Linked DNA regions of Lonchura striata. The protein of the gene in region 1 interacts with the protein of each later gene in a biochemical or structural test. Links are inferred from orthologs where the notes say so. Each region holds a gene or a part of one and is shown in the gene's direction. Other genes may lie near its edges. The genes, in order: RBPJ and SPEN.

The links.
Region 2: the proteins of RBPJ (region 1) and SPEN form a complex in vitro, tested with the Homo sapiens proteins (2 studies listed by BioGRID and IntAct). The link is inferred for Lonchura striata from reciprocal best matches to the Homo sapiens genes RBPJ and SPEN.

Annotation. Positions count from the first base shown.
Region 1 is NC_134606.1:18,657,188-18,665,269, forward strand, and holds the start of RBPJ (recombining binding protein suppressor of hairless), read left to right. Parts: upstream 1-4,830; 5' UTR 4,831-4,870; coding exon 4,871-4,890; intron 4,891-8,082. UniProt on the Homo sapiens protein: Transcriptional regulator that plays a central role in Notch signaling, a signaling pathway involved in cell-cell communication that regulates a broad spectrum of cell-fate determinations.
Region 2 is NC_134626.1:6,442,714-6,450,620, forward strand, and holds the start of SPEN (msx2-interacting protein), read left to right. Parts: upstream 1-4,760; 5' UTR 4,761-4,815; coding exon 4,816-4,898; intron 4,899-7,907. UniProt on the Homo sapiens protein: May serve as a nuclear matrix platform that organizes and integrates transcriptional responses. In osteoblasts, supports transcription activation: synergizes with RUNX2 to enhance FGFR2-mediated activation of the osteocalcin FGF-responsive element (OCFRE).

The DNA of each region.
Region 1 (8,082 bases):
GGAAAACAACAGAACTGCAACAGCACCTCTAGTTAAAATGTTTTCCTTCAAAAAAAAATCTGTATTCATACCAATTCAGAACTGTAGCATTGCAAAAATTATTTTTATTTATATATTAATAAAATCAATAAAACATTTTGAGTAATATAATCTTTAAATCTTCCTTTTTTTTTAATTATTTGTGATAATTCATAGTCTAATCAACTAGTTCAATCTTCCCTGTTTTCTTGATTCCAATAGGATGCAAATAACTTCCTTAGATGTCTTCAGCTCACAGTCAGTCCTACAGAGATCAGACAACTGAAAAGAAGCTGTATCTTCTCCTGTACGTTTTGAAAACATGGATATTTTTACACTTTATCTTGCTGTATTCCTTGTAATGAATGACTTTGTAATCCTGCATCTTAGAACTTTAATCTTAGAACTGCTTTGGTGCGTGCACACATTAGCCATGGCAGAAGGTCAGGGCAGCACAGCCACCAAGGTGGGGCCTGGGGAACCCTGCTCTGCCACTGCCTGTGAATGCTGGGGTGCAGGGGGCTGGCACTACCCGGTGTGTGGTGGGCAGCCACATGGCATTTTAGCCTCCAAATGATTCACTGAGGTCTGGTGGAACCTGCAGGGACACCCTGAGGATGAGAGGACTGATGGCACCAGCCATCACTGCAGAGGGCTGTGCATGGGAGGCAGGGCTAAGGCAATAACCTGGTGCCACACTTAACTGGTGGACAGGCATCGTGCATGAGTGGAGGAATGCTGAGTGAGAGAGGTTCAGAGGTGCACTCTTTGTAGAGCCCAGTAAAACTAAGGAGGTATGCAGGGTAATTTACATGCAAACTGACAAAACATTTCACCCAATGGAAAATAAGATACTATTCTGGGGTAGGGTGAGGAGCAAAATTTAATACAATGCAAAGTGTCTTAGCATGCTGTTCTAGAAAGTATTTAAAAATAAGAGGTTATAGAAGTCAGTCATCAAGCTGTTCACACTGTTAACCTATATAACCATATGATGCTATTACTGTTAACCTCATCTTCCCTCCCTTCTTCCTTCCTAATGTTTGCTATACTCTTTTCTTCTTGTCTTTACTCTAAAAGAACACTCTGGGAAGGGACTGTACTTGCTTTCAAGGCAACACCATAATGAGGCCCAAGCTTGACTATAGCCTCTGGGGACTGCCACACCAAGGTATACTTACACCGGAGCCCGCATTACGACATGGATTCAGATTTTTTCTTTGTTCTACCATCCTCTTTGAGACTACAACACACAAGCAAAAACTATTTAACAATGCTCCTGCTGCAGACTGCTAACTAGGGTATTCTTTCTCTTTGTCATCCTTAAGACAATGTTGCAAATTCCCTGAACAGTGTTGAACATCAGCATCCATTTCAAACAGCAGACATTTCTGACATTGAGCTGGCTGGCGAGCAGCTTAAGCGATAACTTTTGTTGGCACATGCACCACAGTTCAGATCTAAGAGATGCTCTGTGGGCAACTGCCTGTTTATTTGCTTTCCTAGACACGCGATTGAACCACACTGTACATCCTGTGCTTATGAAATCCCAGCAGGGTTGTATCACAGTACCTACCACTCAAATGTGTGATTTACACCACCTACAAACTACAACGTCTCAAGATAAACCTGCTCCTTATAATGAAGAGATCCAGATAACTGCGGTTCTCACTACCTACAGTGCTTTTTAAGGTCACTGAATTTTAAAATAGCTGGGATTTCAGAGGACACACTGTGAGATATTTTTTGGTAAGACAGGCTGATCTGAGACAGAGTCTCTTGTCCCCTTGCTCATGTCTCACATGCTTGTGCTAAGCACATAAGAAACATGGAATTGCTTCTACAAAAAAGTGTGCAGGTCTTTTGTTTTCTCATCTTTTTCCAAACCAATGAGGTGGGAAGCAGTTGCCAAATGAGAAGCATATTAATTAGCTAGTGTTGTGCCCAAAGGAATGAGCTTATGGGAAGCCCAGAGCCAAGGCTGAGCTGGAGAAAGTTTGTTCTGGACCGGTCAAACAAGCTGTTGAAATTTTTGGCCTGGTTATCGCAGCTTGCATCTCATGCTCCCTGCTCATGACTGCCCTTCTCCTCCAAAGCTGGGCTTCTTGAGCACTGCTGGCCAGCAGCTCCTGTCCTGCAGCACCATTGGTGGGACAACACTCCAGGCCAAAAGACCTCCCTGCCCACACCAATGGCCTGATCCTAACAATTCCGTAGGCTCGTGCTAGGCTCCTTGTCTTTCCTCGTCTTTCCACACAAAGCAAGACTGAGTGCACAGGGGAACCATATGGATTCCCAAAATGAAGCTGCTGAGATCCACTAAGCACTGGCCAAGTGGTTCTGTCCACAAAACATACATGTTGGTGAATCCAAATTCAAGGCGGTCCTGTCCCCCAGTTGACAAGTGAGAGTAAACTGGATTTCCTGCATGAACAGCCTTCCATTTTCGAAGGTGGCTAATGATTCTGAGCACCCAGCTGGAGTCACCTGGCAGGGCATCTGCTTGGAACACAGGTGAGGCCCAACACCTGTGGAAGTCACATCCTTCAAATATGCCTGCAAGCTGTGATTTTCCAAATGGTTTCTGAAGTGTCAGGCCTGATTCAGAGCCCTTTTGACAACCTCAGCTGAGCTTAAATCAAAAAGTCAAACTACTAATTTACATAGCAAACACAAAAATTTAAATGGTGCAAACCTGGTATTTAAATTTTTCTACCTCAGCTCTGGAAGTGCTTATATTTGTTACAGGCCAGAAGGTGAGGTCTAGTTCCCTGCGGTAGTGGATGCTTTTGTTTCCAATAAAATCAATAGAAGCTGTTCACAATCTATGTGAAATACAAACTTTTAGCAGCAAGAAAAAAATTCAATGCATAAACAATATTTAAAAATCCTTTAGGGTTATTATCTTTTCTTCCACCAGCTATTCACATGAAGTTCAAGCTATTGTTTTTGATTGGAATAGTATTCCTGGCCTTTTGAACTGTAGATAATTTATAATTTAAGAAAACAAAATCAATGGTTATTTGTTTTATAATGTACTGCTGTCAGTGATGGAAAGGACTACAATGGTTTCTATGATTATTAATTCTTCTAAATAATATACCTGCTCCAGTATCCAATTAATCTGATTATTAACCAAAGTGCCTTCATTGTCAATTATTAAAAGAGACCAGACACTGCAGATTATTGTGTGCTATATTTTTAGATTTTCCAGTTTGATTCAAAACACACTAAAAGAGGGGCCCCACAAAATAACCATCTAGAGACAGTCCATGGCAAACATCCAGAAACTATTCTTAACGGAATGGAGTTAGCATGAGCTGAGATAATTCTTTAGCCTTGGGAGAAGAAAAAAAAAAAAAAAAAAAAAAAAAAAAAAAAAAAAAAAAAGAGAGAGAGATGTTTTTAGGAAAAGATTTCCAAACGGATTACGAGTTGCTCTTTGCAAACAATACAGATTTCCAGTATGCATTGTGTTTTTGCCGAGAACTGTGCGCACAAGGGAGCCAATCAAAGTCCTCTTGTATCTAATGAGTAGGGGGAAATCATGATGGGGAAAGTCCCTTAATGACAGGAGACAATAGCTGTTTGTACAGTGACACGTACAGAAAACTTTGTCACTAAGGAATCTCTTGAAACGTGTTTTTATTTATCTGAGACATTATTCATTCAATTAGCATAAGCAGTGAAGCGCATATGTGGGCAAGAAATCTGAAATCTTATTCGTGGGACTACTGAAATGTTATTTTTCCCCGTAATTTGGAAGACAGCAGACGTAGAGCTAACATAGTAAAAAAGATGTGGGCTTTGGAACCTCAACAATCTTTAATCAATGTAGCATTTGTCCCGGAGTTAGACTGACGTGTTATACTAAACACAGACGAAGTTGAAACAGACAGAAGTCTTAATGTAAAAGGATTATTTTTCAAACTTAGTCTCCTAATGGACAATCACACCCGCGCCCCGAAGGGTGCTGTTACATGAATCCAGAATAGGGATCGTCTTTTTCTGTGGTCTTTATCAGACGTGGAGCACAGCCCGTGCGGCAGATCGCTCGTGTCCCCGTGCCCGCACTCGGCCGCCTGTGGCCACGGGGCTCGCTCAGCTGGCTGGGACCCTGCCAGACCCCGCTGCTTCTGTTTGCTAAACAAACGCATCTTACGCACTTCAGCTGGGGATGAAAACAAAGTTATGAAACCGGGTTTCTCATGTAAAACTGACTTCTACAAAAAAAAAAAAAAATATGTTAACAATTCCACGCGAGGAACCCGAGAGGTCTTCCTAAGAGCTGAGGCTCCAAACCGCAGCCCCCCGCCCTTTATTCACCGTCAGACGAAGAGCTCCCCGCGCCCCGTGCCCAGCCCCGCCCCACGGGCCCCTCAGCACGTGCCGCGCCCGCGGGCAGCACGAGGCGCGCGGCCCCGCGCGCTCTCCCCGCAGGGGGCGCGGCTGCAGGCGGCGGCGGCCGCGGGCCGGTCCCCGCGCGCCAGCGGCGGCCCCGCCCCCCGCCCCGCCCCGAATGGCTCCTCCCCCTCCGCCCCTCCTCGCGCCGGCGGGGGCGGGACGCGCGAGCGGGCAGAGGGAATCCCTCGGTTTCCCCGGAGCGCGCTCCGCTCTCGCGAGACCTGCGCCGCTGTCCGCCTGCCGGCCGGCGGCGCACTCTCGCGAGAGCGGCGCGGTTCCCACGCCCGGGCTGTTGTGTCTGAGGGAGCAGCCCGGGCGCTGAGTGGGCGGCGCGCACCGCCCCCCCCCCGCCCCGCGCGTGTCTCGCGGGCCCGCGCACGCGCGCTCTGGGCCGTGGGGAGGGGGGCGCTCTCGCGAGAGTAGGAGTTTTGGCGAGAGTTTGTGGAAGATGGCGCCTGTTGTGACAGGGTGAGTGCGGGGCGTTCGCGGCGCCCGCCGGAGCCGCCGCCGCCCGCGGCTGCCGGGGCGAGACCGCGCCGCGCCCTCCCGCTCGCTCCTCGGCCGCCGCTCGAGCAACGGGGCACTGCCCTCCGGACGGCCCGCGGGCGGGCCCTGCGGCGCAAACCTCGTGGGGCTGGGGTCCCGCCGGGTGGGCGCACGGAGGAGGCGCCCCGGGCGCCGGCCCGGCAGCGGCCGCGCTCTCCGGCCGCCCCGCGGCGCGGCAGTCCCGGCGCGGCTGGGCGCTCACTTTGCTCTCGTTCTCTCCGGCACGGACGCGCCGGTCGGGACTCCGTGCAGGGTCAGTGCTCATCCCGGCTGCTTCGGAGCGGGTCCCGCTCTGAGGGGTCCCAGGGGAGCGGCGGAGCCCAGCTGGGAGCAGACCTGGGGCTGGCACGGGCTCTTCTCCCTTCTCGCTCGCCCTGGCTCGTCCCGCCGTAGGCGTGGGTCCTCCAGGCTCCCCCGGCTACGGACGGGGAGCGCTCGGACAAAGGCGTTTGCTGCTGCGGCTGGAAGTTGAGCGCGGTGCCCAGCGCCCCTCGCACGGCAGGGCCGGCCGGGGCCCGGCCCGGCGCTGTCACTGCCGGCGGAGCGCTCCGGGCGCGCCGGGCGCGGGCGGCTCTCCGCCCCTGCTAGCGGGACACCCGTGCCGTCGGGCTGGGCGACCGAGGTTCCCTTTCTCTCCTCTCTGCACACCATTCCCAGGGCTTTGTTGAGTTTTAGCTGCCTTCCTTCAAATGCTGGGCTGCAAGGAAGGGTAGCAGCCTCCCTACGCCACTAAGCCACGCTGGATCATAATGAATGGTAGTCTCCATCCCTTTCAACCGCACTGGGTAATACTTAATCATGGCTAGCCAGCTGCAGCATGTGTCACTGTAATAAGTGACACTCTCTTAGCCACCTACAGCTGATGAATAATAACAGATCCACTGCTGGTATACAGTGTGCAATCACACCTGCAGTGTCACATTGCACGTTGCCATCCTTGCCACATCTTGATTGCTGCTGCTGCTGCTTTTTTTAAGTGCTGTATCCTTAATATTGCACTACGCTGAGCAAGTGTGACCTCCCTCTATGTGTTGAGGGAAGAGACAGGAGAAGAGCAGGCTGTATCTGTACTCCACCTGTTCCAAATGAAATTTTGTCTCGTTAAAGTATTTCTAGGACTTTCTAAAACGCCGAACTTATTTTAAGATTTCGCAGTGTCTGTGACCTTCTGTCTTCCCTGTGGGATTACATTGTCTACAGCATTGGCTCTGTGGTTAGAGAGCAACAGCCTGCTTGGGGGTGGGGTGGAGTTGGTGGTTGATGCTTTTGTTCTTGTGGAGAAGGTAGCATTATGGTATTTTGTTGTTTTGATTAGCTGCAGTAGTGTTTCCAATTCCTCACTCTTGTTTGTCAAAAAATAAGTTGAAGCTTTTACTTGATTTCTTTCCTGAAGAAGGTGTCTTGTGGCTGATACAAAATTTCCCAATTAAATGTTCTTTAGGGAAGCTAATCTTGTTTGTAAATGATTCCTGGATTGTACTAGTTTAGAGGCTAGACTTGAAAGAAGGGAACAAATGCTTTTAAAGTTTGCTATAACTATTAGCCTGTGCTCCACTTAGTAATTAAGTTTTTCTATGTTTCTATTAGTTTACTCATCTGAATATTTGGACTCCATTTCCTTTTGTTTATTGATCATTACAGGATTGTCAGAAGTGATGTCATGTTTGTGACATTAGTTTTATCCTTTTCAGATGTGTGTTAAAATGTTGACAAAACAACTGTGGATTATTTTAAAAACAGTGATCAAATAATCAGAACAGTAGAAAAAAATGCCATTTTAATGAGAGTTAAATAATTGTTTGTAGTTTGGGATTTTATGCTACCTTTATTGTTTAAGCCCCTAAGTCAAATAATTATCTGGAAAAATAATTTTGTTTTCTTATTGTTAAATATTTCCAGTGTAGGTAAAATGAAATATGCTACCTTTTGTTGATGTTGTAGTTATATTATATGAAGGAGCCTGTTTTTTAATTGTTTTTATTAAATTACCTGTTTTTGGAATGTGGTTCTGATGCTGAGTTGTCTGTGTGTATTAGAATTAAAAATTGATGATTCTGCAGTAGGTGGTTGTTTTTTTTTTTCAAAATAGTATAGGAAGTTTTCGTTCTGGGCTGTTCTGTAAAAACTTACTTGGACGGGGGGAAAAAAGTGTTTTAAAAAGCAATAACTAAAGAATGTAATATGCAAATCCTGTACTGTGTTTGACTAGGCATCACATGGGCACTCAAACTTATAGCTCTTTTGCAGTCAGTGTTACTTGAATGAAAAAAGTTGTTTTGTTTTTCTTTCTTGTGAAAACTATGTGCCTAAGCTTAAGTTATGGTACATAGGTTTATGCGGTGTTGGAATGCAATAGCAGGAATTTCCTGCAGCACTTTTGGGGGGCAGTCAGAGTGTGTTTGTGCTTTGTTGTTGGCAGCATGTGGCACGCTCGTGCTGCTGCCTCACAGGAGCCTTCTGATGAAACTTGTGCATATGTACAGTGTGACAAGCCAAACTGCACAGTGTCAGAACCAGATACAGTGAGAAAGTAAACAGAAACATCAGACAAGTAACTTAAAAGGAATTACTATTCACAACTACTGTTTAAAAGAAGTGGATAATTTATGGCTGGGATTATAGGATAGTATTTTTTGGGTTTTGTGAAGTATTTTTGGTTTTGGTTGTGTACAATTTAGGGAAATAGCATTTTAAGATGACAAAATTAATGAACATGCTTCTTTATTATATTGTGAGCGCAAGCCACTTGTTTTTAAATAATTGCTATACTGCAAAAACACCTGTAGGCATCCATTAGCTTGAATATTGCTCTGCTAGGTCTAATAAAGCCATAGGTCAAAGAAAATCTCTAGTGCTATGAAACTAATTTTATAATTTTACAGTGACATAAAGTATGGAATGGTATCTTCTTAGTAGCCTGGGACAACCTGATCTTAGAAATACTGGAAGTGAACTCAGAAATAACAGATGGAAATTATAAATAGTAGACATTGTTTTAAGTACTCAATTACCAGTTAAAATCTCTGTAACAGCAGTATACAATATAGCATTTGGATTATTTTTCAAACAGGTTGAGAAGCCTTGGAAAAGCCAAAAATAGTTTGAGTAGGCTTA
Region 2 (7,907 bases), on another chromosome or scaffold:
GGAGAAAATGAGCATAAAGCAGAATGGGTAAGATATAAAATTAGGCCAATAATTCAGGCTGGTTTAAAAAGGAGATAAAAGCCTAGCTGGGAATTTGATATTCAGTTGTCATAGTGTTCTTTTCATAAATACTATCAATGAGTGAGGAAGACACGTAAATACATTTTATCCTGACAAGATGGTGGCTGGAGCTGGCTGGCTCAAACAAAGGAACACTGAGTGTTTTCTGGGGCTCTTTGCTGGGAAACATCCTGCTTTTTTACAAAAAGCAAAGGAACTGGCTGTGCCCTGGTGGTGGGGAGAACCCTCGTGTTCCCGCTCAGATCCCCATGAATCCTGGCTGATGTAGCCAGGGAGAGGTGTAATATCCCCCTTTCCCAACACGTCACACAGAGATGTTGCTGAGCCAGACCTGAGGGTAGGAAGTTACGGTCTGAGCCAACAGAGTGCTGGTTGCTGTCCTTGTTCAGTATCTAATCTTTGCTTTTTGAAACGTTTGATGAGCAGTCTCAGCAATGTGTGGCAGCTCCACCGCTCGGGAAAGGTGCTGTGTTCAAAAAGGATAAACCTGCCTTTTGAAGCATTGTGTCTGCCCACTTCTATTTATTGGTTTTTCCTCCTCAAGGAGAGGCTGCTGTGTGGACCCCAAGGATGTTTTCCACTTTTTCTGCCCTTTTTTTTCCCTTCAAACTGGAGAGCTGCTAACTTTATTAGCTCCTTATATGGCAGCCTCATTTTCTCACGCCTTTAATGGCTCTCTTTTGATCTGTCCTGTTCTTGCCTTGCTTTTCCTGACATGAACGTGGTGCTCAAGCTGAGATGGGTTTATAACCTGCTCCCTCACTAATAAATAGCCTGGCACTTTAATCCTCTCCAGGCACTGATAAGAAACATCCAAATGTTTTAACTGTGGGGCTGGCTGAGTTGTCCAGAGATAGCTGGGCTCTCAGTTACACCCCCACAGGAGTAATTTAAATTGTTCCCTGCAGTGTGTATCCCAAAGGCTGAGGGCCATCGGGTCATGGAGAACGGCTCAAGTCCCCTTGTGCTCAGCTGTTTGGCCCCCGGGAAGGGCAGCACACAGGGCAGTGCAGCCGTATCTTGCCCCTGGGTGCTCATGGCAGGACACTGGGCTGGCACAAACGTGTGTCTGTTCTGCAGACACAAGGATGGTGCTGGTCCTTTGTCACAGCCGTTCTGGCCTGCTGAGGGGAGTGTTATACCTGCTCTGTTCTTCAGCCTGGGTCTGTGTTCTTTAAAATCTTCGGCTGAGCTGGAGGATCTGGTTACAGCAGCATCGCTGGTGCAGTTGCAACTAGGAACAGCTTCCCTGCAAAGCATTTGAAGAGTATCACCATGGTCCAGAGCTTTGTTTTGCGTCACCAGCCGAGCTTTGTGCTCCTCTTCCAGCTGGCTGTTGTGTAAATGGAACCCTCCTGGCACTCATCTGAACCTTCTCCTGTCAACAGAGTCGATGGCTTTGTTTGTGACAGCTCCCAGCCCCTGCATGTCCTGTGAGATGGCCGGGTGACAGCAGTGACTCCGTGTGAGATTCCCTGGAAGGACCTGGGAGCTGCTGTGCTTTACTTGTGTCCCTCAGAGATGCCACCCCAGCAGGAGAAAGAAGAGCTGGGATTGCAGTTGTAGCAAGTACACTCCATCAGAGGGAGAATTTATCATGGAAAAGTTGTTTGGCTTTTTGGCATTTTTGGTTTGGTTTTTCCTCTCCGAAATGGAGAGCCCGTTAAAGGTAGAGACATGTACAAACTGCTCCTTGGGCTTCCCACCAGGAAATGGAAAAATGGAAAGCTGAGCCCAGTTCCACACTGGAAGCGCCGGTGGAGCGTGTTGGCAGCGCATTTTCTTTGCACACGTGGCTCCATCACACGTTTTGAATAATAGATGGTTTGCGTGCAAGGAGTTGTTGGGCTTTTTAATTAATCAGTAGATCCCAGTTTGGCAGAGCCCATCATCACTGGGGAAACTGAGGCACCGGGCTGCCAAAGGATGGGCTTGCAGCAACTGGAGTTGGGGCTAAGGCTCGGGGCCACCATGGATGGAATCCACCTGCGTCAGAGATCTGATTAAATCAGGAGATTTGCATATTTGTTAAGGCACTACAGCTCGGTGACTTTGACCAGTAGTGAGGTGGACTTATTGCCAGAAGGTTACGGTGTCCGGCTGGGTGGCAAAAAGCAGCTCTGACAAATAAAACATGGGTTTGATCAATACCAAAACATCATCAGGAGACTTTGGCCATGGAAAATACTGAAATATGGGTTTGCTCAGTGGTGAAAGCAGTGAAGGCTTTTAACACCAACACTTGTGGGTGTGTCTTTTTTCCTGACTTCAAACTGCTCAGAGTCTCACAGTACAAACTGGTTGGGCATTTTCCTTCTGGGACATAGAAATAGGGGTTTTTATCAGTGCAGTGGCATGCTTCGATGGAAAAGATCTTGTGGGTTAAAGTTCTACGTTGCAGAGCTGGGGTGTGACATGTCAGGCAACTAGAGATGAGTGATCTTGGCACTGGGCAATTTTTTCTCCCCACGTTAATTAAGGAGATGTGCCAGCTCCCATGGGGGAGCAGGAGGTGACTCCTTCCCACAGTGGGAGTTTCTCCTGTGTGGTTTTCAGAGCAGCCTGGTCTGCATTCTGTTGGAGGAAATGCCTCAGAACAACACAGCCACCCTGCTTTGGTGGAGGGAGTGTCTCAGGGTGACACATCCTCCCTGTGTCAGCGGAGGGGAGCATGTGAAGCAGCCAAGGGGTTTTGGGGATCCCCCTGCAGCCTCACTCACGGTTCCTGCTGCTCTGGCCTTGGAGCCATTGCAGACAGCAGAGCCACGGCAGCACGAGGCCTTCCCTGCCATCTCCTCAATTAACTTTTTACTTGTCTGCCTGGTGGCCATGGCTGGACGTGTGCTCATCTAGGGATAAAGGTAGGTTGTACCCCAAGATTTTGGAATCCTTACGAGATTTGGGAGAGCTGTAGGTTTGGGGGTCAGCAGGGGCCCCTGGCTGGGTGAAGCTCCTTTGAGCCGTGCCAGCAGGACCTTGCCCTCACAGTGTGACCCATTCTGTCTCTCACAGCTCCCTGTTGCAACTCCACCAGCCCAGCATGGCAAGTCTCCCAGCCCTTCCTCACAGCCCCATCACAACTTGCAGAGCCCCCATGCATTTCTCACAGCCCCTCATTACAATTCTTTCAGAGCCTCTTAAATCTCTCACAGCCCCATTACAATTTTCAAAGGCCCTGTAATGAGCCTCACAGCCCCCCAATAGGACTCTCGGAGCCCCCCGTTGTCTTACAACCCCCCATTGTGTGTCTGAGTCTCCCACTGTCACAATCGTAATTCTCTCATCCCGTTTCCCACACCCCCACCCCAATTCCCACATTTCCCACACCCCCACTCCAATTCCCTGTTCCCGTTTCCCACACCCCCACCCCAATTCCCACATTTCCCACACCCCCACCCCAATTCTCTCATCCCCCCATTTCCCACACCCCCACCCCAATTCCCCCATTTCCCACACCCCCAACTCAATTCCCCCGTTTCCCACACCCCCACCCCAAATCTCTCATCCCCCCATTTCCCACACCCCCACCCCAATTCCGTTTCCCACACCCCCAACTCAATTCCCCCGTTTCCCACACCCCCACCCCAATTCCCCCGTTTCCCACACCCCCACCCCAATTCCCACATTTCCCACACCCCCACCCCAATTCTCTCATCCCCCCATTTCCCACACCCCCACCCCAATTCCCCCATTTCCCACACCCCCAACTCAATTCCCCCGTTTCCCACACCCCCACCCCAAATCTCTCATCCCCCCATTTCCCACACCCCCACCCCAATTCCGTTTCCCACACCCCCACCCCAATTCCCACATTTCCCACACCCCCACCCCAATCCCCCCATTTCCCACACCCCCACCCCAATTCCCCGTCCCCCCATTTCCCACACCCCCACCCCAATTCCCCCGTTTCCCACACCCCCACCCCAAATCTCTCATCCCCCCGTTTCCCACACCCCCACCCCAATTCCCACATTTCCCACACCCCCACCCCAATTCCCCGTCCCCCCGTTTCCCACACCCCCACCCCAAATCTCTCATCCCCCCGTTTCCCACACCCCCACCCCAATCCCCCCATTTCCCACACCCCCACCCCAATCCCCCGTCCCCCCGTTTCCCACACCCCCACCGCCCCCGCCCGTTCCGCGCACGCGCACTCCCGCTCGCGCCCCCCCCCGCGCGGGGCGTTGCGCGCTCTCGCCCCGCCCCCCCGCCAGCCCCGCGGCGCGCGCCCCGGGGCGCAGTGCGCCTGCGCGGGGGCCCCCGTGTGGCGCTGCGCGAGGCGCGGGCAAGGGAAGGGAAAAGGGAAGGGGAGGGGGGGCGAAGCGAGCGAGCGAGCGCGGCCGGGCCGGCGGAGCAGCGGGAGCGCGGGGGGGGGAAGGAGGAGGAGGCGGCGGCGGGGGCGCCGCGCTGCCGCTGCCGGAGGAGGAGCAGGAGGAGGCAGCGGGAGCGAGCGAGCGGGCGGCGCGGCGTGGGGAGCCGGCGAGGGAGCGCAGCCGCGGCGGAGAGCGAGCCCGGCGCCCGGCAGCCGGCCCGGCGGGCAGGGGGCCCCCCCGGCGGGGATGGTGCGGTCCGGCGGCCGGTGGCGCTGAGGGCGGCCGGGCCCCGCGGCGGAAGGGGCGGAGGGCGAGGCGGAGGCGGCGGCGGGCAGCGAGCGGCGGCCGGCGGCGCGGCGCGGGGGCAGGCGGCGGCCGGGAGCCGGGGCACGGGCGGCGGGCTCGCCCCGCGCCGCGCAGCATGGTCCGGGAAACCAGGCACCTCTGGGTGGGCAACCTGCCGGAGAACGTGCGCGAGGAGAAGATCATCGAGCACTTCAAGCGGTGAGTGGCGAGCGGGGCCCGTCCGGCCCGACCCGCGGTGTGGGGAAAAACGGGGGGAAAAACGTGGGAAAGGGGGGGAGGAGTGCGCGGAGACGGCGGTTCCCGTGGAGAGGAGGAGGAAAACAGCGCTGTAAATAACCCGCGCCATGGCGGGATCGGCGGCGCGGCCGGAGCGGGGAAATACAAAAATGGCTAAAAATGGACCCGAAACGACGGAGCAGCAGCGAGTGGGGCTCGGCGGTCGTCACGGAGCGGATCCCATACCGAGGATGTCGGGAGGCAGCGCTGAGCCTGGCCGATTTATTTTCCATTCCATTCCTTTTTTTTTTTTTTTTTTTTTTTTTCCCGATTATTCAGCGCTCGGACTTTTTTCTGTTTATTTTTGCCCATTTCACTGCGTTTCCCTCCCACCTGGAGCCGTGGAGGATGCTGCGTGTCCCCCCGAGGTGCAGCGAGCTGTGGGAACCGAAGCGCCGGCAGCTGCAAAAACGTGACTCTGGGGAAAAAAAAAAAATATCACGCAAACCCACGGAGAAAACACGGGATCCTGCACGCGGGAAGCACTCTGGACTCTTTATATTGTGCTGGGTTGTTTTTTCCTTGTTTTTTTTTTTTTTTTTTAATTGCATAGGTTAATCCTGCTCATAAGGAAGTAGTAGCTGTTTGCATGGTTGGGTTTTTTTCCTCCTCCCTCCGTCTTTCCCTGCGAGGAGGAGGAGGAAGAGGCTTCTCCCCCGCCGCCTCACCAACACCTTTTTCCTGTGGAAATGCTCTCAAGTTGATGCACCCCACGCTGGAAGCTGGTTTTTAGGAAGAAAAAGAGAGCAACGAGCTCTGCTCAGCTCATGGCCCCTACAGGCGCTTCACTTTAATCCCACCAGCAGCAGAAAAAAATGGATTTTGAAGCTTCCTTTAATCTTCCTGTGCTGGAAAAATGACGGAGCCTCCTTAATAATGAGTCACCATGGGAAAAATAGATGCGGTGACACCGAGAGAGAGAAGCGAAGGTCCCAGCGCCTCTTCCCTGGTTTCTGGTCGTCTTGTTGTGGAAGGACTGGGGGTCTCGTATCCCCCTCCATCCTCCTGGCCTCAGCTGCTGTAGCAGCCAAACCCCATCTCTGCATCCTCATCGCTCTGAAATTGCCCTGTTTTAATCAAGCTTCACCTTTTTTTGCCTTTATTATCCCCCTGAGCCAAGAATTTGCCGCTTGGTGAAGGCGCGGGATGGTGGATGTATATTCAGGGTGGTTTGTCATGTCCCTCAAGTCCAGGTTCTGTGACCCAGTGCTGTTTACAAAGCCAGGTTTTGGGGGGAAAACCTCGCTCTAGGGTTATTTGGTTAATTCCAGCGGTAGCTAGCTGAGGGATTAGGTGCTCCACAGTGAAAATCTGACATTCCTAGGTTTTATTTTGTCCAGTCCTCCTCCTTTTATAAGATGTATTAAAGGAGGGAAAAAGTTGCCATGGTGCTGTTGCTTGGAGATGGATGGGAAAAATGGCAGGCGCTGAATTAATTACCTTTTTTTGGTTGTTTTGCCTGGGCAAATTACGATCAGAGGTTTGGGCAGGAGCTTTGTAGCCAGGCATTTCCCCCCGTTTTTCCCAAGTGATTTTTGCCCTGGATTTGTGTGTTTGGATGAGGCTGATCTCACGGCTGTAAACAGTTAAAACACGCTTCAGCCCTTTGGCTGCAGGTACTAAAGCAGGGGGAGGGAATGGCACGCCGCCTCCGAATGCTAGTGGGATGTAACCACTGGAATATTTGTGGCTGGAAAAGGGGTGAGGGGCTGAGCGGGGAGCCGGGTCCGAGGCTGGGTGTGTAGGTGCTGTAGGTGGACAATGGAGCGAGCCTTCCTTTGTATGCCCGTGCTCGCCTGGGGGAAGGGACAGGCGCTGCACAAGGGCTTGCACGGCGTGGTGGGTTTCTCCAGAGGGAAGGGAAAGCGGCTGCCCGGCCGTGGAGGTGGGAAGGGGAAGGCTCCCTTCTCGGAAAGGACGCTGTAGTCGGGAGAGAAGGTCTTTTCGGATGGAGCGGGGCTTGGCAGAGCCCGGTTCCCACCCATCCCCCAGCCTGGGAATAGGGCGAAGCGTGTGCGGGGAGGCTGAGCCATGGGAGCGGGGCGAGGTTTGGGGGAAAACCGCCTCAAACCTCAACTGGGCTGCGGCCGGGAATCGCCTCACCCCCGGAGCCTCTGTGCAGCTCACCCGAGTGTTTGTTTTTCCACTGGGCTTGGGAGATGCTGTCCTTCCCAGATGGAAGCCCGTTTTCGCTGGGTTGTTGCGCGGTCCCTGCTAGGCACGAGTTTGAGAAACGACCATTTTTGTTTCCAAACAAGCAAAAATTCAGGGAAAACTCCTAAAACTTACAGCTCTGCAGGAGTATGGAGGGTTTGCTGCCTCTCCTCCCCCTTCACTTAACCACCGACTGTGGGAACTTTGCTGGGATTTGCAGCCTCACAAGGAATTCTATAAAGGGATGAATTAAGAATTGTGAAGAAATATATGTTTTTATTATTTTTCCCCAAATGCTTCTGATTGGTTTGTTTAGTTTAGTGAGGTGAATGGAAGTAACACTCCCTAGTATGGATTCTTCTCTCAAATTAGAGAATACTGAAGCTGGTCTCGAGAAGCACTGGCTTACATGAGCAGTGCTATTTTTTTCCTTAGAAGCCCTTTTTAAAATCTGTTTCTCTGATATTAAAGGGGATTGCAAAGGAGAGATTTTTCCATGCAATTCAATACATTGAAATTGTCTTTTAGTTTCTTACCCAAATACTCCCTTTGCAAAAACAAATGCTCTATATTTCCTTTCAACTGAGCTGTTAAGGCACCCTGAAATAGAAATGCAGCCAGTGCCAGGATTGGAGATCCACTGTTCAGGTGGAATGAGTAGCAAATCTGAGTTATGATCTGGGAGATGTGAGCTTGGGGAAGTGGTGGGAGCAGGGGTTTGGGTTCACCTAATTAATGCTGGAATTAAACCCGTCGTTTACCATCACTGAAACAGAT